Linked DNA regions of Oryzias latipes. Each later gene encodes a partner of the first gene's protein in a complex. Links are inferred from orthologs where the notes say so. Each region holds a gene or a part of one and is shown on either strand. Other genes may lie near its edges.

What was found.
Region 2: the proteins of glycylpeptide N-tetradecanoyltransferase 1 (region 1) and ncs1 are in contact, whole or in part, in a crystal structure (PDB 5O9S), measured with the Homo sapiens proteins. The link is inferred for Oryzias latipes from reciprocal best matches to the Homo sapiens genes NMT1 and NCS1. Residues at the interface, in NP_066565.1 of Homo sapiens: Tyr180, Val181, Glu182, Asp183, Asp184, Asp185, Met187, Phe188, Arg189, Phe190, Tyr192, Asn246, Thr282, Ala283, Gly284, Arg295, Tyr296, His298, Ser300, Lys310, Phe311, Ser312, Tyr401, Leu403, Ser405, Tyr420, Gly468, Ile469, Gly470, Asp471; in NP_055101.2 of Homo sapiens: Gly2, Lys3, Ser4, Asn5, Ser6, Lys7, Leu8, Lys9.

What each region holds. Positions count from the first base shown.
Region 1 is NC_019866.2:5,209,913-5,220,610, forward strand, and holds the start of glycylpeptide N-tetradecanoyltransferase 1, read right to left. Parts: upstream 5,604-10,698; 5' UTR 5,575-5,603; coding exon 5,471-5,574; intron 5,257-5,470; exon of another isoform or gene 5,184-5,256; intron 3,885-5,183; coding exon 3,779-3,884; intron 3,320-3,778; coding exon 3,245-3,319; intron 2,973-3,244; coding exon 2,828-2,972; intron 2,746-2,827; coding exon 2,627-2,745; intron 2,262-2,626; coding exon 2,170-2,261; intron 2,046-2,169; coding exon 1,929-2,045; intron 1,777-1,928; coding exon 1,606-1,776; intron 1,531-1,605; coding exon 1,422-1,530; intron 849-1,421; coding exon 678-848; intron 589-677; coding exon 424-588; intron 327-423; coding exon 189-326; intron 1-188. Other genes in the region: plcd3 (1-phosphatidylinositol 4,5-bisphosphate phosphodiesterase delta-3), read right to left, coding at 7,630-7,772, 7,859-8,008, 8,273-8,408, 8,976-9,154, 10,570-10,686.
Region 2 is NC_019867.2:19,604,554-19,614,489, forward strand, and holds part of ncs1 (neuronal calcium sensor 1), read right to left. Parts: intron 5,194-9,936; coding exon 5,055-5,193; intron 2,788-5,054; coding exon 2,709-2,787; intron 1,910-2,708; coding exon 1,821-1,909; intron 1,745-1,820; coding exon 1,667-1,744; intron 428-1,666; coding exon 329-427; 3' UTR 320-328; intron 1-319. UniProt on the Homo sapiens protein: Neuronal calcium sensor, regulator of G protein-coupled receptor phosphorylation in a calcium dependent manner. Directly regulates GRK1 (RHOK), but not GRK2 to GRK5. Can substitute for calmodulin. Stimulates PI4KB kinase activity.

The DNA of each region.
Region 1 (10,698 bases):
CTGCAACATTTTGACAACCTTATCTGCAAAAGGATTGTTTTAATCATAATTAAACCACCACTGAAAACACTTTGAAAATAAATCAAAAGATGACCCGACTGGGACTTTAAAAAAAAAAGCAAACAGTCACTTCATGCCCATCTGCAGAAAGTGGTACGTCTAGGTCATGGTGTGAAGCTAAGACCTACCTTCTCTGGCCCCATGCTGGGACACTTCCAATTGTACAGATAATACTGTAGATTCCCATCACCGATGCCAAATTTCAACTTCTCCAAGAAAGTCTTGTTTTCCATTAAATCCAGTGCATTAAAGACATCAAAGCCTTTCTGTAAACACACACAAAAATCAGTTTCTTGTGTGCATAATCTTTAAGCAGCAGTGTTTTTTTTTTGTTTTTTTTTAAAGAAATGACGAAGAACAAACCGATTTGGCCAGAATGAGAGCATCAGACATCAAATCAAGCAGTGGGGTGGTGGTGTGCACATTGTAAAAAGAGTATGCTGCTTTGAGACTCCGGTGCACAGGATGGTTCATGATGGTGGAGGGCAGCGTGTAGAAACTCAGGAAGTCCGTCACTTTTCCATTCGACTGTCAGACGGTAAAATAAAAAAAATTAAAACAATCACACGGATCAGTGCCATAGCGGCAGAGCTAAAACCTTCTCAACAACCATTTACCTCCACAAGATAGGTGTCAACAATGTTCTCCTGGGGCAGAAACCAGTGTTCCACCTCCTCCTGGTTCATGACAGGCACAAGGTTGAACTGGCTCAGGTATTCACGGAAAAGGCGATGCACCACTGGCACATCCTTCTTGGTCATCGGTCGCAGACCAGAAGTCTTTGGAGCCTAAAGGAGGAGGGGCAAGGGAAGGGCTTGCATCTTAAAAGTTTCCTTTAACTATCTGACTACCAGAGGAAAAAAATAGCACACTCTAATTTTTTTTTTAATCTACCAAAAACTACAATTCCCAGAATCCCCCCCATTTGCATCTGACATCATTGAAAAGCCCCAAATGTCCTCTGTAGACACCAAAATGAGGTCATTTAGCAGCAGTGGTTGGGAAATATTCAGGTTATTCTTAATTTGTCCTCTACAGATTTCTGTAGAAATCTATTCCATTTCTGTGGATTTTGCTGTAAAAAAAGACAACAAAAATCTCTAATGGAATTAATTTTTTTGTTCCGTTTGAGATTTATTGTGCAACTATTGAATAGAACATTAAATAATCAGTAGAAAAAGAAAAACATCAAGCATTCCCTATAAAGTGTGCAAATCATGGAATACTAAAAAATTTTTTAAAAAAGTAATATTTACCCCAGTACCAGGTGAAAACGACCACGTGGTATTTTACATTTTAAAGATCTGATTAAAAAAGAACAAATTTCTTAGATTTGCTGCTTAATTTGTGCCACAACTAACCTCGGGCAGGCGGTAAAGCTTCATTGTGCGCTGCATAGTCATGTTCCTGCTCAGATGGGAGAACTTGACCTCAATTAGTTTCCGTGGGTTCAAGGAGCGATGCCAGTACCTTTGCAAATGAAAAATGGCAAAAATAAACTCAGGAACATCATGAGGAAGAAAAAGTTGCTTCTCCATGACAAACCTGCAGGTGCCTACAGGTTTGGGCAGCACGACTCCGGCTGTGTACACAGCCTGGAAGATGCCCTGCAAATTGACCCTTCTAGTGATCTCTCTGATCAGAACTGGAGCGACCCGTTTGGAGCGAAGCTTCTTGTGGACACAAAGGAAGTTGATCTCAACCATTTTCTTTTCTCTAGAGCAAAAAAAAAAGAAAGAAAAAATATTTTAAACAAAACATTTTAGACAATTTCTCATGTTTAAACAGTCCCACAACTCATTCAGACAAAAATGGGAGGTGTGATAGAAATATTGACATTCATTCAGGTCAAGATTTCATCTCTTTACATATCGTAGATGCGAATGTTGGCTGGAATGGCGCTGATGAATCCCACAAGCTTCTGGTTGGAGTTCACCCTCACACCACAATGCCACTGTGGCAACCAGCCTGGAGGTCGCAGCGCCCTGAGAAACACAGCAGCCAGTCACCTTCACAGAACGTCCATCTGCTCTTTGTTATAAACACACCTATTTTTAAAATTATGTTGGATCTTTTTTAAAGGCAAAATGATAAATTAGGAAAAGTTACCAGAGAAGAAACTCAGGAGAGTAGTCAAATCTGAACATGTTGTCATCGTCTTCCACATAGTTCTCATTGAGAAGAGTGTAAAGCTCCTTAAGCTGTTTTAGAGAAGCACAAGGGAGCAGTTAACCGTTTCAGATTCAGAAAATCCCTTCTGAAAGAGAAGACTTGAATCTGAAAGTTACATTTTTTTAACCCACGTAGATACTAAAAGCTCTGAGAGTTTAAGATGTGCAGCCTATGATATATAAGCTCTTGCATTGTCTAAATAAAAGATCAAGTTTAACATATTTCGGCAGTTTAACGGCAAAAATATCCAAGTTGCTTAAAAAAATGAAAGCATAGATTGAATCTAAATGGATTAATATTATTAAAAGTAATAATATGAACTGTAGATTATTATTTTAATTGAAAAGGATTGAATGCCCAGGTATTGTTTCATATGTCATTCAACCTCTCGTACCACAGCGGGATCCCCCAGGTCGAGGGTGTCCCAGCTGAAGCCCTGCGGGAGGCTGTAGGGCTCCTCTCGAATGGCGTCCTTATCAGGTTCAATAGAGCCATGAGACGTCACCGTCTCCCCTGTGAAGTCAAAATAACACGCCACATTATGACATATGTCTCGCTTGACCTTAAGTTCTGAAACCTCTGATGTTTCTCACACCTAGCTTGGGAACGGGCTGCGTGTCCCAGAACTGGTAACTTCTCCGAGTGGCTTCCTCCATGGTCTTGGCTGGACCTTGGCCCACAGAGAAGAGTTCGATGGCCTTTTGGATCTCCTGTAGCTTATCAGCTGGCAATGAATTCACCTGTTTTTGAAGACCAAATAAAAAGATCTTTATTAAATTAAATGAAAAGAGGGGAGCAGCAGACAGAGAAGCTTACGACATTCAAAATGAGATCTACTTTTTATCCAAGATTAAATGAACCTTCCACATAAAATTTGATCTTAAAGACCCACTCCAATCATCTTATGATCTAATGTTAGAGCCTTCCCAGTGGTCTTTCAATTATGATTAAAAAACTTTCATTTTCTATAACGTAGTTTCTGTAGAGCGGCAGTAGTTCATTAGAAATTCACCTCTAAGTCGTGAGCGTGACCACTGGCACCGAGTAAGCCCGAGTCATCCATCTGTTTAGACGCTGTCCTGCTTGCCTACAGCCCCTCACACACCCAACCTAACATTAATGGTGCAACAAAAATGGCGAGCAATACCTGAGCTATCCTGCCGTACGGTTTTGAGCCAGATGCCAGCACAGACGAGGAAAACAAAGACGTTCGTGGATTTATTCGTCTACAAGTGGATGCATCAGAATGGAGCGGAGCAGGGAGCCTATAGCTCACTCAGCATATCTTCTACATCACAAATGCTCTCTTTTTGAAAATGTTGCTTTTTTCTGCTTGTTATAATGAATAAAATAATTTTCTTTTCTAATTCATTTTCTTAAGAAACGATCTCCATCTTCAGAAAAAAAAACAAAAAACACAAGAACATGTTAAAAACATAGTTTTCATCAGAGTGAGTCATATTTAAACAAACATTACTTTCTTTCTTTTGGATCATTACTTTTGAAACTAAAATTAAAAAAAAAAAAAAAGTGATTTCACTCTTGCCTTTGCAAGTGGGTCCTGAGTTGCTTCGGTGGCACCAGATTTCTTCTTCTTTTTCTGTTTCTTTTTCTTCTTCTTGGTGCCGGTGTCGTCACCCAAACCCCGATCGCTGGAACAAGATAAGACATCCACTTATTTCTAAATGAATGTCTTCAATCAAAAAACCAGTATCCACCTGTGTATTTCCCAAATTCTCCATTCAAAAGTTACTTCAAAATCATAAAGACAAATGTATTTTCCCACTTCTGTTTTGCTTGACACTATTAGATAGATAATGCCAGCAGATGCTCTGGGAAAGGTGAGGAAAATAAACCCTTAGCTTAAGGAAATGCAAGTCACTGGTTTAACTGATAAAAATGAAATGAAGAGATAAAATATAGTATATTAAATCAATTCAAACATTATTTACCAACATTATGTGCTTAATGAACCTCATTTAAGACTCGGAGCCCACAGAGCCACACATCTACCACATACTTACAGAGGATTATCTCATTAGTGTTCAAGAGAGGAGGCAGGGCAAGTACTTGTAACCCCGGTGCAGATGGTGAATCACATGACTTACAGAAGAAGAGTATGTGGCATCGACGCATGCGTACACACGTATGTGCAAGGGGTCACCGAGCAACTAGAACAATGGTCAACAAAACATTCAATAGTTTGTTCTCCGGGCTTCTATTTCAACCGACAGGCAGAATCATCCATTGTTTCCAGGCTGTGTTAAGGTGGGATGTAAATGCTGCCAGGACAGAAAGTGATTTGCTTCACAGCACTTCAACAAGTCACGACAATATCCTACAAACAGCAGGATAGTGCAAGTGTATGACATTCAATCTGTCGCTATTCTTTCCAACTTCAGTGATCTAAGATTTAGCTCCTCTTGAATGGGTGTCATCTGTCTGAGCCTAACGCAGGATCTCATAAAAAGACGACCCACCTGGTTTCGCTTTTTCTTTGTCTGCACAAACACAAATAATTAAAATAGAGAAGATGTCTCCACAGGAGCACGGTGGATTTTTACTTTGTATAAATCATCAAAACGAGTATATTCCCAAGCCTTTTTCTATTCGTCAAAGGTTTTCTGGGACTTGCATGTTTTAGCAATACAGACAATGAATTGAAAACTTCCCAAAGCTATTTGATTAACAAGGCGAGAGCAAGAAAACATGCAGGTTTTGCGTCCTTTCATAAAGATTTAGCCACGAAATTCAGCCTAAGACAATGGGTTTGACAGCTACGTTAGCATGCTAGAGCTAGCGCGTTAAACGTCAGTTGGAGTTTGATCGCTTACATCTCTGTCGTGCATCTGAACTAACCAGCGATGTATTGCATTAAATGGTAATTCATTGGGTAAGTTGTTAAAATTATACAAATCTGATAAGTTTTAAATACGGGACTCGTTTATTACCCATTTAATGTTTCTCTTCAACTCTGTCTCCTACGCCTTGCTAGCATGGCTGAGGAGATTCGTCACGAAGCACCGCCTACATGGCGATCCAAATAAAGTTTCAGCCAATCAAAATCCAGTACTGATAAACCGACACTTTTATTAGCCAATTGAAATATCACAAGTGGGAGTGGCGACAACCCCTGCCTTCGACCGCTAGCCAAGGCATTGGTTAGCATAAGCTTTGAAAAACAGCTAAATACAATGGCTTAATTCACGCAAACAACTGAAAATGATGCTACTCTTACCCATCGTCAAAGGGATGCTCGTCATTTTCGCAATCGCTACAGTGTGCGTGGTCTTCTACATCTTCTTTTTCCTGCTGGGGTGCTGTCTCATTCTCATCCGCCATCTTTAACCAGGAAGCGATGGACCACCGCGTGTCCTCTACGCCTTTAAACCTGCTTTGCTGCTATTGGCCCAAAGTGAAAAGTGGTTCTTACTCTGTCCCTTTACACCGACACGTAAAACAGACGTTCAACTTTCAATAACCATGTCGCATAAGTTGCCAAAACGCTTATAACATTTTGGCTGTATTGTCAGCTGTGTGAATTGTTCCTTTTCTTTCACACATTAGAGTCATGTGATCAGAGCCGTGCCTTCAACCCATTCAGAGTGGAATGGCATGGAAGGAAATCTGATTAAGGCAAATTGAAGTTAGGGAAGATTCCTGAAACAAGTAGAAAAATCTACAGACCTACGTTTGTCATTTACATTTTCAATGTCAATGAAAAAACTACAAATAGAATATAAAAAACATTAAGCAGTTAGAATGTAGAATTGTTTCAAAGGATGTGTTAAAATATGGCCAGGCATTAAATACTCAATAAACTACAATGAATTTTGCTATAAATTTATCGAAAATCAAACAGACATTTAAAAAGTACTTTTTTCTTTACATCAATTATAGGCATTAATATTTTTTCTTACTTCCACTGTAGAATTTTGCTTTGCAAATGTGGTGCTTAGGGTGGTTATGATAAATGTAATTTTTTAAAATTATTATTTATAATTAAGTATTAGTTAATGTAATTTCTGCAGGAAGGAGAAGCACATGGTTGACAATTTCTAAGAGAACATTGGATTAAATAGAGATTGGCTTCTTACAACCATAAATTTGGATAACAAGTTTTATAGTGTGAACTCTTTTGCTATTTTATATAGCCTAAATTTGTGCTTATCAGCTTGAATGGAGATATGCATAGAAAAACAACCACTTCAACTTTTTCTTTTTAACTGTGGTTGAAATGAAATAAAAGAAAGCACAAGGACAGCAATCCCACACATTTTGGAGCCATAGGGGAGTCAGATGAGGTCTTGCTGTAAAGCGACAGATCTAACCCTCTATTGCCGTGTACCTCTTAATTATAAACCAGTAGTTTTATGACCTGTTTCATATTGAACATTTTTGTACAAATCTCTAACTTTGACATTAAAATGTGCACAGCAAAAAAATAACTTTTTAAACATGAAATCATAGCTTATAATTATTTAGGAACATGCGAGAATAAAACAATGAAAAGAAAGGTCGAGTCTCATTTTTGTGGTGTTATTATTGCTTTACAAAAACACAGTCTTGGATACATGATACAAACACAGGCACTGAGGTATAACACTGCAAACTGTTCACTCATCACAGATTCAGTCAAAAACAATTAAGGCATATACATTGTATTTATGGCAAACTCAGTGCTTCTCTTTTTCTATCTCTGACTATAAGTATTCCCTTCAGTGACGCTTTAAGGGAGCTGTTGCGTCTTAATCCACAATTTCCTGATAACAAAGAGCTGAACAAGACTTGAGGCCAGAATTTAATACATTTGTAAAATGATACCGAACCAGTACTTGCATATCGGTGGTTTCTAAGCATGATGGTTAAAACAATTTTCAAAGGTAAGTTTAAAGTGCTAAAGTACTCAAAGTATTGAGTAAGATTGATTTAAGAAAATTCTGTTCAATCTTTTGAAAAACTTGGGTTACACAGTAATAAAATAACAAATCTCTAAAACGGTTAAATTAAAATATATTTAAAAAAAAACAGGGATTACACATCTTTGTGGTAAAAATCATATAAGTATCATTTCTGTTGAGGTACTCTTCATCTTTACATTAACAAAACAGTTAAAAACGTTTTCAAAACAAACTAAAATGTCAAAATAATAATTCTGTCATGGAGGTTATGTACGTTTAAACACTTAAGCATCCTATAAGGGTGTTTAAGGCTCCTTTTCTTCTTCATTTTTGCCCTGAATAGACCAAAAAAAGTCTCAAAGTGCATCTGAGAAACTAAGTGGCTGAACAGAAATTGGACGGGTTAAGTTTGAGGGAGTCTTCACATTCAGCGTTTCTGCTTCTAAAGGTCTTTGTTGGCAAAAGAAGCAGAATTTCCTCCATTTTCAGGCGTGTTTCACGCTTTCCTCTTAGCAATGGCCATACGCTCTGACAGGGTTTGAACTGGAGGTCCTCTGTGGCTCACTTTCACATGGACAAAGAGTGTAGCTGGAGACAGACTGGAGCCATCTGCCTTCAGGAGGTGGATGTGTCGATAACCTGAGACAAAAAGAAGATGTCAGTTGTGACACCAAAGAGAAAATTTTCTCTTTTTCATCTGAACAGGACAAATCTTTATGAGCTACCTGTGCGTAGGCTGGTGAAAGGCAGAGTAAACTGCCCCACAAAGTCATTTTTGACCGTGTGATCGTGGTCCTCCACCACAAAGCGCACCAGAGCCAGTTCAGGGACCTGAAGCTGGAAGCCCAGAGTGCAGTCCCAACGTGGGTTGAAGCCTGCAGGGGGCGCCAAAGAGCTGTCAAAACACTTCTAAAGAACCCAATCACAGCTGAGCATTGGAAGAAAAATGTTTATGCTGCATAATAAACAAGTCAAAGGAAACTTTGTTATACATATTTTTGTCTTAATGTTTTAAAAACATTAATATTGTATAAAAAAATAACTGTATTATGAAACACACAAATCAGTATCATGCAGCTAAAATTAAAGGGTTCTTGTATTTATGTTGTTTAATACACATAAATACATTTCAAAATTACCATTGTTGTCAATGCGATGGGTTTTGTTTTTTGCATTGTCAATACTGACTCCATGAATTTCTACAGAAACTTGCGGATCCACAATGGCGCTCGCCTTCTCTGTGTTGACTTTTGGCAGCTGCTGTGCAGTTAATACCTACAAAAAACAAAAGAAATTGGTCGGTAAACAGTTTAAAAAGGCTGGATTTGGGCATGGGGGGGGGGCATAAGTGCCATCATCACCCACAAAAATCCTCAATTAACTAAGGAAATAAAAATTATATTAAAAAAAAAACTCCAAGAAACAGAACAATAAATGAATACATAAATAATGTGCAGGTCCCAAGCCGGGTAAATGCAGAGCATAGTGTCAGGAAGGCATTCACTATAAAATGTATAGACATAAAAAAGATCTAAGGTTAGATGAACCCATAGCATGGTTTTCTAAACATTTTAGGTCTTTGACAACCCAAAGTCTCGGCATATCCAGTGTGGGGCTGGCTAAATTCGGGCCTGCTAAAAAGCATTTTTAAAATCCTAGACTTCACTGACTTTCTGACCCCCCCATCCCAAGGATTAACAGAGTAGAGCTCAGTTTTTATTGCATTTAAAGATCCACACATGTAAACAGAAGACAACAATGTGGATGCAACATTACAAATAAATGAATGAATTAGATCTCAACATTTTATTTGCTAATCGACAGATTCATGCAACAGCTCACTCGTATAGTCAGTTGTGTGGGTGTGTGGCCGGGGCCTCCACCGGTGTTCTCTGGGTCAAAGTTGGACGTAGGGCTGCACAAGAAGCTGGGCTTGAGCACGTAGCCACAGCGACCGTTGGCTAGGAAGCGACCCTGATTAAGGTCCATCTGCTCCCCAGGTGTCTGAAAGTTGAGAGCCACTGAGCGGCACAGAGAGAAGACTGGAGTCAGCAACAGTACCAACAGATCTAATTATAAACAGACCCACAAGAGAACCTTAGTCACAACTGCCCTTAAGGGTGGATGCGGACCTGCAGCCGAAAAATGGGCAAACCTATACGGGGCACACAGGTGGCCCATAGAAAATATTAAGATTGTAGACCGCTCAGTAAACAGTAGAGCGATAAAGTGCATGTAAATTATTTTCTACAGGCATGCTGTGAGTGACAGGTCGTAAGGAACTTTTATGCAACACATGGGGTCAAATACGGGTGAAATAGGTGAGATGCTGACATGTTATAAAGAGTTTTTTTATTTTTTCAACCCCCAAATCCTGCGCACTGTGCAGGGTCCCGTTAGCGCCGTTTAGGTGATAAGTGTGCGCCCGTTTGTGTGCAGCCTGACTGTTAGAATTTAAGAAATTGGTCAATTAAGGTAAATTTTGTATGGGCACTCTCGAGGCGTCTTACGTGGACTTACGCATCACATGCACACCCCATCTGTGTAGCATTTGCGTGTGGTCTGTAAAAAGCCAGTACTCCCACCTTACAAACAACTGGAGAGTGGCGTAGGGCAGCGTACAACAGCATCACCCGTATGTCATAAGTGCATGTAACTTACATTCTCCTTACAAATACTACAGATACATTTACCACACACACACTCGACAATGATAAGTTCCATTGTCATGACAACCCCATGAGGTGGCCATACGAGCCTCAAGGTAACTGCAAGACACATTCATGTAAAGACAGGTTCACACCGGGCATGTGATGCTCGTTTTAAGAACCCGCTAAATGCACATTCTTGCCTACAGTGTTCACACTAGACAGGCAAGGAGGGGCTTCTCCTTTTTCTTTTGCTACTGATCACTACCGAATGTACCTACAGATGGGAGTGAGAAATGTTGAAGTGGTGCAAATCACATGAATCTTGCTTCAGGTTTTTTTTTTCCACAACTCTATTCCAATAAATGAAAGACTTGGGATCGTATAATTTCAGCCGGGCACAAACCGCGATTATTAATTTCTCCTCCATGATCAATGTTTTTAACAGTTGGCACTTCTGTGAATTAAAAGAAACACCATCTATACGTCACTTCCAAATCCAAGTCCCTGATTGGTTCAAGTTTGATCTGGTTTAATTTACAACCGATGTTCAGTGGCTGCGCGTTTTGTATGTAGAGCCCGAAAACGGTCCTAAAAATGTGCGTAGTGACACGTGAACGCATCGGTCTTGAATGTGGAAGCCATAAATGCCCATATACACATTTACTTAGACTTTTGATTGAAAGTGATTGCTTGAACATTGCAGTGTGAACGTAGCTTCAGAGAGTTATTTTTTCAAATTTCAATCATCTTTGCTTTAGTCTGGGTTTTTAGTGGGGAGTACCAACCCATCTGGCAGCCACTGTTCCACATATCCTGAGGATCAAAGTTGGAGGATTGCAGACGCTGGCCAGAGGGGTAGATCCGGCTCAGCTGCCTCGTGTTGTGTTTTACAAAAAGCTTCCCTGCAAATCAAA
Region 2 (9,936 bases), on another chromosome or scaffold:
CTGAGCAGGATGTTAGCAACAATTGTCAGCAGCCAGAATATGACATCAGGCAGTGAGAGGATAGGGATGTCTCCCTCCTCATTCATCACTGCAAGACTATCAAGCTGCCAGAAAACAAGTGGGCCATCTGAATAATTCATAAGAACAAACTGAGAGCAGAAATTGGCTTACACCCCTGAGTTTCAGCACATGGACTGAATATCTTTTCTGATTTTTTTTTAAAGCATTAGAGTGTATTAGAGCTGAACTCAGGCGTGACTAGGAAATGGCATTCCCAATGAGAAGCATGCATGAACCAGTCCATCAATCTGTCACTCACCTTCCATTCCTACACAAGTCCATCATATAGAGACAGGGCCTGAACAATGGAGGGGTCTGCCTTCGAGCCCTCCTGAAACTCTTGCAGAGTCAGCTTTCCATCTGCATTCTGCAAGGAGGAGCAAAAATGACCCTCAAGATTAAAATGTTTAGCAAAGATATGCCAGCAGAGGGCAAAAAGGGATTTCTGTCTGAAGTAGAACTGGCTGATCTCTAAAATAAAACAAGTGTTTGGTGAAACCATAAAAGAACATAAATACATGAGAATAGTCATACATTCTGAGAAAAAAGCCAAAACTTGACAAAAATAAAGTTGTGCAATAATTAAAAAAAATCTACATTATTCAAGAACAAAATAATAATTTTAAGATTTAAAAAGTCATAATTTTTGCACGGAAAAAGTTGTGCTTTTTCAAAAATAAAGTTGGAATTTGATGAAAATAAAGTTGTATATTTACAATTGATGTTTTATTCTGTTTTTTTCTTATTCTTAAACCTTGTACAGTGACCTTGGGTGACCTGAAAGGTGCTTGAAATAAAATGTATTATTATTATCATTATTATTACAACACAAAGGTAAAGCAAATTCAGCAAGATTTTTGGAGCAGATCTCCATCCAATTTCTCTGATTTGTTTGCAACATTGATTAAAAGGGTAATGTTCGAAATGTGTTGAAACATTTTAAAAGCTAAAAATGTTATTTTATTTTCAAAAATAAAAGACTTTTTCCTTGTAAAATTAATTACCTTATTCTCATAAATTGTTGACATCTCTTGATAATTCTGCCTTTTTTCAGAAATCATTTGACTTTTTTTTCAGAACAGTAATAAGCTTTTTCTCAGCATTGTAGGCTATGACTTTATCTTCATAAAATTAGACTTTTTTTTTTAAACATTTTTCGACTTTATTCTCATATATTTGTTTTTTTTCCCCAAAAAATCCTGCCTTGGCCATTAACAAAATGACAAATAAATAGTGCAGGCTGTAGAGTTAGCTCTACAGGCGGATCTAATATGACAATACTGTTTCATCTATTACCAGAGCTGCAAAGAGTCTGGGGGCAGATGGAGTGGGCAGTAAAGGCTAATAGTGGAGATGAGTATAAGTGCAGGTGGTGTAAGTGATGCTGCTGAAATGGCTACAGAGAGCTCTCAGTTTAACAGTGTCTGTATTAGAGCCCCAAGGGTGCCAGTAAGGCTACACTCAGTCCTATTACTCTTAAACAAGTGATTCAATGAATACTGCACTTGATGCTGTCAAGCGCTCATACTGACCTCTAAAAGGTCGGACCAATTGATGCAATTCTCTGCTTTAATTTGCTGTTTGTCAGGTCTAGTTCAATACTAACCTTGTCCATCATTGCAAAAATGCGGTCGACTCGCTTTTCTGGTGTGTTCTCCTCCTCTGGCAATTCCACAGTGTTTCCCTTAGACATCACATCATTACACTGTGAACCGTGATGCTAGTGCAGGTAAACAGAGGGGATGTGTTTCTAAACTTACCACCATTTGGTATATGGCATCTACGATGTTTAGCATTTCATCACGAGTTATATAGCCGTCATTGTCGAGGTCATACAATTTAAAAGCCCCTGTAGAAAAAAAAGACAAAATGTCAAAACATATAACTCTCCATGAAGAAAAATATGGTAAAATAGAAATAAAAATAGAAAAATATATAGAAATAGAAATATCTCGGTGGAAACATTTGCTGCGGCAGTCAGAGACTAATTACAAGCTCAACAAAACATTTCTATCTGCAATATAAAAAAGATTGACGTATACACTGGTCTCTCGCTATATTGCGTTTCAGCTTTCGCAGTCATTGTCTTTGTATTTATCTTTTTAGTAATAATAGATTTAAGTTGCTGATATTCCAAGAAGTTATTTGTTCTATGTTTCTCTTGAAGTTCCTGGGGTGTTATGAATCTTCTATCAATAAATAGGTGCTCTAGTAGTGTTCCGCCCCCTGCTTGCCAAGCTGGGAAGCGTAACATTTTTTGCACTCTGCATCCTGATTGGCTGTAGACCTTGTGACTCAATCTTCTCCTTAAACACAATCATTTAGCCATATTTACATAAATCTTCGATCATGGTCAGGTTTTTGTTTTAATTCTATAATACTGGACTCATTTTTCTGCTTTGATTGAACTTTGAGAGTTTAAACAAGAGAGAAAAGTGTATAAAGTGTGTAGTGAGGGGCTTTACAGCCTTAAAACATCTATAACGCTACTTTGCAGATTTAACCGTTTAAACATAACCTTTGTGATAAACGAGGGAACACTATAATCCTTGCTTTCAAAAAGACAGATATTTACATTTATTTCAAGCAGATTGCTTAGTTGTGATTCTTTTTTTATAAAAATGATAGGAGAGGAAGTATCTTCTTACATCTCAGCTTCTCATCCAGAGTCCCCCTGGAGGTCACTGACAAGGCCTGGATGAACTCTGAGAACTCGATGCGTCCATCCTATGTAAGAAAAAAAAGAATTCAAGAAAGACTTTTCTGTAAAAAGGAAAAAAACATAAATGTCTTAATTTGTTGCGCTCCCAACTTCTTTTGCTGTGCTTTCTTAAACTCCTCCTTGCTCCTCGTGAGAATCCTCACTGGATTTCTGCTGGAAACAGGGTCAGTCGTTCTCTCCAAGCTATTTTCTGCCCTGCACCTGGTTCTCTCTAAGACCTGAATCATGTCATCTCTGATCATTAGTTAGATGGATGTTAGTGGCTCATTTAAACATGAACATCACAACAACAACAACTATTTTTCATTGTGAATGAGCTCAGGAGATTAAGCTGTCCAACAATTTCTTTGACTTCCCGTTTTTAGGCCACACGTATTATGTCTCACAAAAATTCCCTCAAGAAAATGTGCTCTTTTTATTTATTTTTTTGCAAAAAAAAAGTTCTGCACATATGGAATGTGATTATCCATGAGAGGAACATTTAAGTGACACCAACATCTGTCTTTGACAACTGGAAACAACACTTTAAAAAAGAGCAAATGCAACCCAAAAAGAAAAGAACAAATTAATCATTTTCAAAGTGAAAACAACTGTTTCTTAGGAAAATTAACAAATGAAAACCATCAGGACTTTATTCTCAACAAATACCAAAAGATTCTGCATCATAATTAAAGGTTACTTCTTTTCCAAAACACCAGCTGATTACCTGTAATCCTCAGTGGTCCTCCCCACTTTAAGTTTAAAAAAGAAAAGTACCGGTGGGACCAGGCTGCTTAAGTCAGCTGAATGCATATCTCGCAGACATTCATCTTGCCAGAAAAATGCTGAGGTCATTCCCAGCCGATTACATAAACCATAATGACTATTAAGATCAATGCATTCTATTACAGCGGGGTGTCTGATTCCAAATGAGGGTCACAGTTAGCATCTGATGAGGAGGTTGTCTGATCACTCAGATCATCACACAAAGCCTCTAAACACATGTCAATACATATCCAGAGGCTTGCTGTGCTGCTGCACACAAACCATTTATAAGTGGTTTGAATAATCACGTCCAGCTGTGATGATGGAAGGACAGCGGGGGAGATGACCTCAAACGAATGTATAAATAACAGCCTGCCTTTGAAAACTTCCTTTGTCATCACATCCTGAAATCCTTGGTGTGATCATAAAAGCGGCAACAGCCTGACATCACAAAAGCACAAACACTTGTGGGTAGAAGGAAAAAAAACGTCTCAGAGAAGAGTTTGCTACACAAATTGAAGAGTTGGACATTTATGGCGCAGTTGATGCTGTGACTAATCCTCAACTCCAAACTCCGACAGCCTGGCAAATCGAATCATCCGTCACGCTGACATTCTGAAGCACTAAATTCATTTGGAGGATCATTTTTCATTTTTCATCCCCACTCACTAAACCAATCAAGTGTTATGAAATGCAGATTTGATTTTTATGATCATGTCGTCTTTTTTTTTGTGATGTGAAAAAGAAACATAATTTAATATGAGAAAAAAAAGATTAGATTAGATTAAATAGTAATTCTTTTAAGGCTTCTTTAATGATGTTGCAAATCAGAAAATGTTAAAAACCCAGTTCTATCATTTTTTGATATATTTTAAAACTGTTTCCAGTGCTATTTAAATTAAGATTTTGAAGTTTTTAGACAAAATCAAAAGACCTGCAGTATGTCGCTTTCTAGGACATAGTTTCTGTAGCAGATCATTAGAAATTCACTCCTTTTCTCACTTGGAGTTTGTGACCCACACAGTGTATTTTCTGTCACAAACTGGATTTTTTTGTCGGCTCCTGTTTCACAACGATTCGAATATAGAAATGCTCAGAAAACAATTTGGAATCTAATTTTTCTTAATACACGTCCTCTATCATCATAAAAATGCCAAAAAAACATGTTAAGAACACCAAAAACAAGAGTGAGTCTTTAAGGCTTTTTATGAACATGGATGTGTTTTTAGGTGTCAATCACTGAAAGTTTAAAGTGCAAACTATTTTAATACTTGACTGAACTTTTTTACTAAAAATAAAAGTATAAACAATATTGAATGCTCCAGTATTAAGAATACATTAACCATAAAGTACTTAAATTAGATGCTTTGCCAAAAGATGCTGGCATTTTATTGTATTTTAACCACTGGTGGGACAAAGAGGCTGATTGAGTCCAGATCTTCACGTCGGCCTTTTAGCACAATTTTATCCAATAATATTCAGTTTAATGTTACAAAAAATACAAATACTAATAAAAATAAATACCAACCTTATTTTCATCAAACACATTGAAGACGAAGGAAGCAAACTTTGTAGGATCTCCAAAAGGAAAAAACTGTTTGTATATCTTTTGAAATCCCACAGCGTCCAGCTGCCCACTTGGACAATCCTTGATGAAACCTTTGTACCTGAAAAAAATGAAAAAAGGTTAACATGTTAAAAGATATACCGTACTGACTATAATTCTCAACAGATGCTACTTTTTGAACCATTTTAGACGTACTCTGGAGCAAATGTAGCAAATACTGAAAGTATTTTCACACGATGAGAAATTGAAGACAATCTGCTGAAGTTAAAAATGAGCAATTAGGAATAGGGCTGAAGTTTTTACCAATAAGTGGCTGCTAGTGCCAGATGTGGTAGTCTGAATATTTTAGAATTCAGATCCATCTTTACCATCTTTAATGTCAATGAAGTTGACATTGAGTAGAATTTTAACAGGTTGTCTTGTTTACATGCAAAATGCATCGTTCATGCCATACGATTGGTCCAATGTTTCGTTGCTGAACGTCTGAGTGCAGAAAATAATGCAAATAATTTATAACCAAGACAAGACTATAAATGAGGACATTTCTCTCTTCACTTTCAAAGAAGGCATTACCGTTTCCTTTTGAATGAGTGTGCCAGATCATAAAGCCAAAGTGCAAAGCCATTTGTCTCATTCATAAGATAAGATAATTGTCTTAATCCAATAGCAACCCCAGAGTGCTTGACTAATCAAATTTCTCTCTGCTTCTCTTTTGATAATATGCATGGATGAAAGATAGGCCTGAGAGCTTCCTTTTTCCCCCTGGAGACGGCATTTCTAAAGAGCGACTTAACATTTCTATTAGCCTAAATATAGAAGCAACTCATAAGCAACCTGAAGAGCAGCTACTAACAGGTAGGCCGATTCCTGGAATGTCTTTGAAAATAACCATTGTGGAGCAGAAACTGAAAGGTCAAAGACAACCAGGAGCATGAGGCTTTTTTTTATTAGGTTTTGTGCTACCATATAATGGAAATCGAGGGACTGTATCTATAAGAAAAAAAATTCTAAAAAATACTGATAACACAAGGGAGCTTAGCATGTTCATCTCCAAATCAGGGTTATAAATAAGGTTATATAGAGACGGTGCTGATGAAAAATGAAACGCCAAAGCTTTTTTTGTACAAGCCGTCTCTTGGCGTTTCTTTTAATCTGCCTAAAAGATAAAGTCAGCTTCATATAGTCAAAGGGTCGAGGAGCCACTTTGAGCAGGAGCTGGAAACAAGTTCAATCAGTGGAGTAGCAGCAGCAAAAAACATTCTAATTCTTGAATTTGAATTATCTAGAGATATGAGGAAAAATGAAAGTCCAGCTCTCTGTAATGCAGTGCTGGACATTTAACATATGTTCCACAACCAACTAATTTTACATCAGTTCCTAGGGGGGTAAGTGTTCAAATCCTGTAACCTATGTTAAAAGTCCAGAGTTTTAAGTTTTTCTAATTAAAAAAAATCTCAAAATGTTCAAGCTGTTGAAAGTTTTCCCCAGGCAGCAGCAAAGGAAAAGAAATATGGCTGTGAAGGTTTTGTTTGTTCGCATTATTTCAGGACCCCTTTCTGAATGTAACTCAATATAAAACTGGATTTGCCACAAAATTGCTTCATAAATCAGGGGGTGCTTAGACTGAGTCTGCAGGAAAGAAAACAGTGGGTGTGATCCTCTGCTGCAAAAGGGTTGGCATAACCTTCAGAAATCTGTGTCGCATAACAAACCACCGTACGCATAAATCCATGTGTGATAAAACCAGCAAAGATCTTTGTTCTTTGAAGATAAGTTCTTTGTTTTGAGGCTGATTTTTTGTTTCAAAGATAAACACAAATTACAGGAACAGAGATAAAAGGATTTCACCTGACTGTATGATAACTAATCGGAGCGAGTGTGACGTCATCCATAGAGAATAGCTTATTTCCGGCTCCAGCAAAATAAGTCAATTCAGTCGCCGTTTTTTATATGGCACATATCGCCATATGCGCCTCGACAACATCACTTAGCAGTGATTGGTCTGAGTTGGTCTGAGTCAATGTTTCTTTGGTAACCACTCTTGCCAGTCAGGAATTAGTTTGTTGGAAATCTACTGTGAAATGTATTAGTGAAATAATAAAACAATCAGTTTGTTTCCTTAAACTCTTTCCTTAAAAGAGTTTGGAAAAGTCCTGCCTGTGAGTATATAAAGCTGTTCAATTAGTCAGCAATGTATGTTTAGGTCAAATGAGTGTTAGCATTAGCCGTCCTATGGGGAATTCCCTTATACGTTAGCATCAAGCTAGCGGACTTTGCTGCTGTTATGCGTTAGGTAAATGTTTGTTTATTAAGCTTAGATTGATTCAGATTGATTAATCCATTGCATCAACTCATCCCTACTTTTTTATGATATGTTTTTCTTCATTGTAAGTTAATCAAATTCTAAGCTGAACGATTAGATTACGCACTAAAAACATGTGGTGCCCGCTGGCCCCCACATTGAACGCTCAAAATGTTTGATAGATTTTTCCCGAGTCCATTTTCATTGGAAGAGGGTGTGGACTTCCAACAAGCTCACTCCTGATTGGTGAGAGTGGTTGCCATAGAAGCGTCGACTCATACTGACTCGGCCCAATCACTGCTTACTGACATCGTCTAACTCTAATCTTTTGAAATCTGTATCAAGAAAAAATGGCGGCTGATTTGGCTTCATTTGGTTGGAGCCAGAAGTAAGTCATTTTCTATGGGTGACGTCTCATTCACTAGGTCCAGTTCTGTTATACAGTCAATGGCATAGACAGTAAATAACATCTGAGAACAGTGAGTCAGATGAAAGTCAGCCAGCACAAAGTTTATAGTTGTATTACCAATCAGAGTAGATCTGATTTCAACACTGGCAGGGAGTCATCTGCCTTGGCTCAGGTCCGCTCTAAAAGGTGGTTTTAAAAACTGCTGAGTCAGGGGTGTAGTTGTTTTTTACAGTGCTTCTGCAGTTCTTGTTGAGGAAATGGTGACATGAAGTGTTCAGATGTATATTCTTATCCACCTAAATTTAACTTTAATGTTTTCTCACAACAATAAATGACTGTTATAAATTAGAAAACAGAGGAACATTAAGATATCCAAATTAACTTACTTCCCTGTTAAAATATTAGAAATGAGCAGAAGAAATGACAAAAATGTTTCTAAATTGATTTTATAACTTTTATATAGACACTTACTCGTATCACAGATAAATAAAACTTGAGCACATCACCTTACTCCTTTACAGGAGAAAACTAAACAGAATATTTAAAAATTCCAAATTCTGTTTTTGTTATATTTTTAAACCCGGGTAATAGACTTTTCATGGTTGGTATCTATGTGCATTAGATAAAATAAAAAAAAGATGTTTAAATATCCTATAAACCTTTGCAAAAAAGGCTGAACATCAATGCAATCAAAACAAATTGCAAAATGATAGATAAGCTAAAATGATATGTTACCAACCAAACAGATCAATTGAGAACAGGAATAGAATAACAGGGAGATTACTTTCTCCTCAAAAAACTTTTAAATTAAAAAAAAGGAAATAGACTTGGATGCTTACAGCTAGTTTGTATGCAGACCATGCTAGACAATTTAAGCAATCAAATTAGAAATTTGACTAATATAAACACCCTGAAACAAGTTTATGAATACAATTTCTAACTTTTGCCCCTGTACTAGTCTGCCCTCTCCTGGACATAACCATCAAAAGGGAGCATTCAATACCTTTAAACAGCTAGGTAATTTTGTGGAATTCGGCACAGATTACAAAAAAAATAGATTCACACCTTTTGAATTACAACTCATTGTAACGAGAAATTCAATTAAAGGCAGTTTAATTAAAACTAGGAAAATCTTTGCTCCAATACAAAACAATTTCTTTTACTTTTAACTCTAATTTTCTTTTTCTAAAATGCTGAAGTGTTTAATCACTCAAGTCCCTCCTTTGTTACTTGAATTCTATAGATTTTTTAAATGAACTCAGACCTACTTTGTTTAAACCGGAAAAACAAAACAGTCATGCACTAAGTCTGGAACCTTTTTTAAATCACTACAGCTGACATCTATCAACCAGCAAAGTAAAGTAAATATTCTAAAATATTTTCTTTCTGACAGTACAGTAGTAAGACATTACAGAAAAGTGCAATAATGTTATTTGGAAATGATTTTAATAGAAGTGCGTTATTTTTTATTTGATTGTAACCTCAAATGTGATTGGTTTGCTAGTTTTAATACAGTACTTTATTTTAGAAGAGCATGTAAATGTAGATATTTTTATGCAGTGTGGGTACAGCAAGCCCTGACTCACAGTTTTTGCAGAGTTTGCATTGGCAGTTACTGCTTGGATTCACCGTCAGAATCCCTTTGCTTTGCTTCTTCGTGCTCAAGAGCTCTTTGTGGTGACAGCAGTAGTGATAGCGCACACAATCAGCCTGTACTTGAAAAAGTGTAACAATGTAACTTGACATAACAGATGCCTCATAGTGTATCAGACCACACAGGAGGTCTGGCGTGATAAACTATTTATTAATGTCACTGGTTGCTTCTTATTAGCATCTACCATGGTGGTTTAGCAAAAAGCTGTGTTTCGCTTGCTGCTGTCCCTCTGGCAGGAACATCACTGAGCCATGGCATTTTGTTATTGATTTCAGGTAGGCTTCAGGCATACTAATGATGTTCCCTTAGAGGAGAATTAGAAAGAGGGACAAATTTAATGCACAACACAGGCATTTATCTAACCCTTCTTATTCTACTGTGTCTGTGCCTGTGCTCTAATTACACGCCATCTGGCATTTCCCCTGGTAAAATTCCCTCTCTCATCGCTCACACTCAGCTGTGTTGATTGCTACCAATC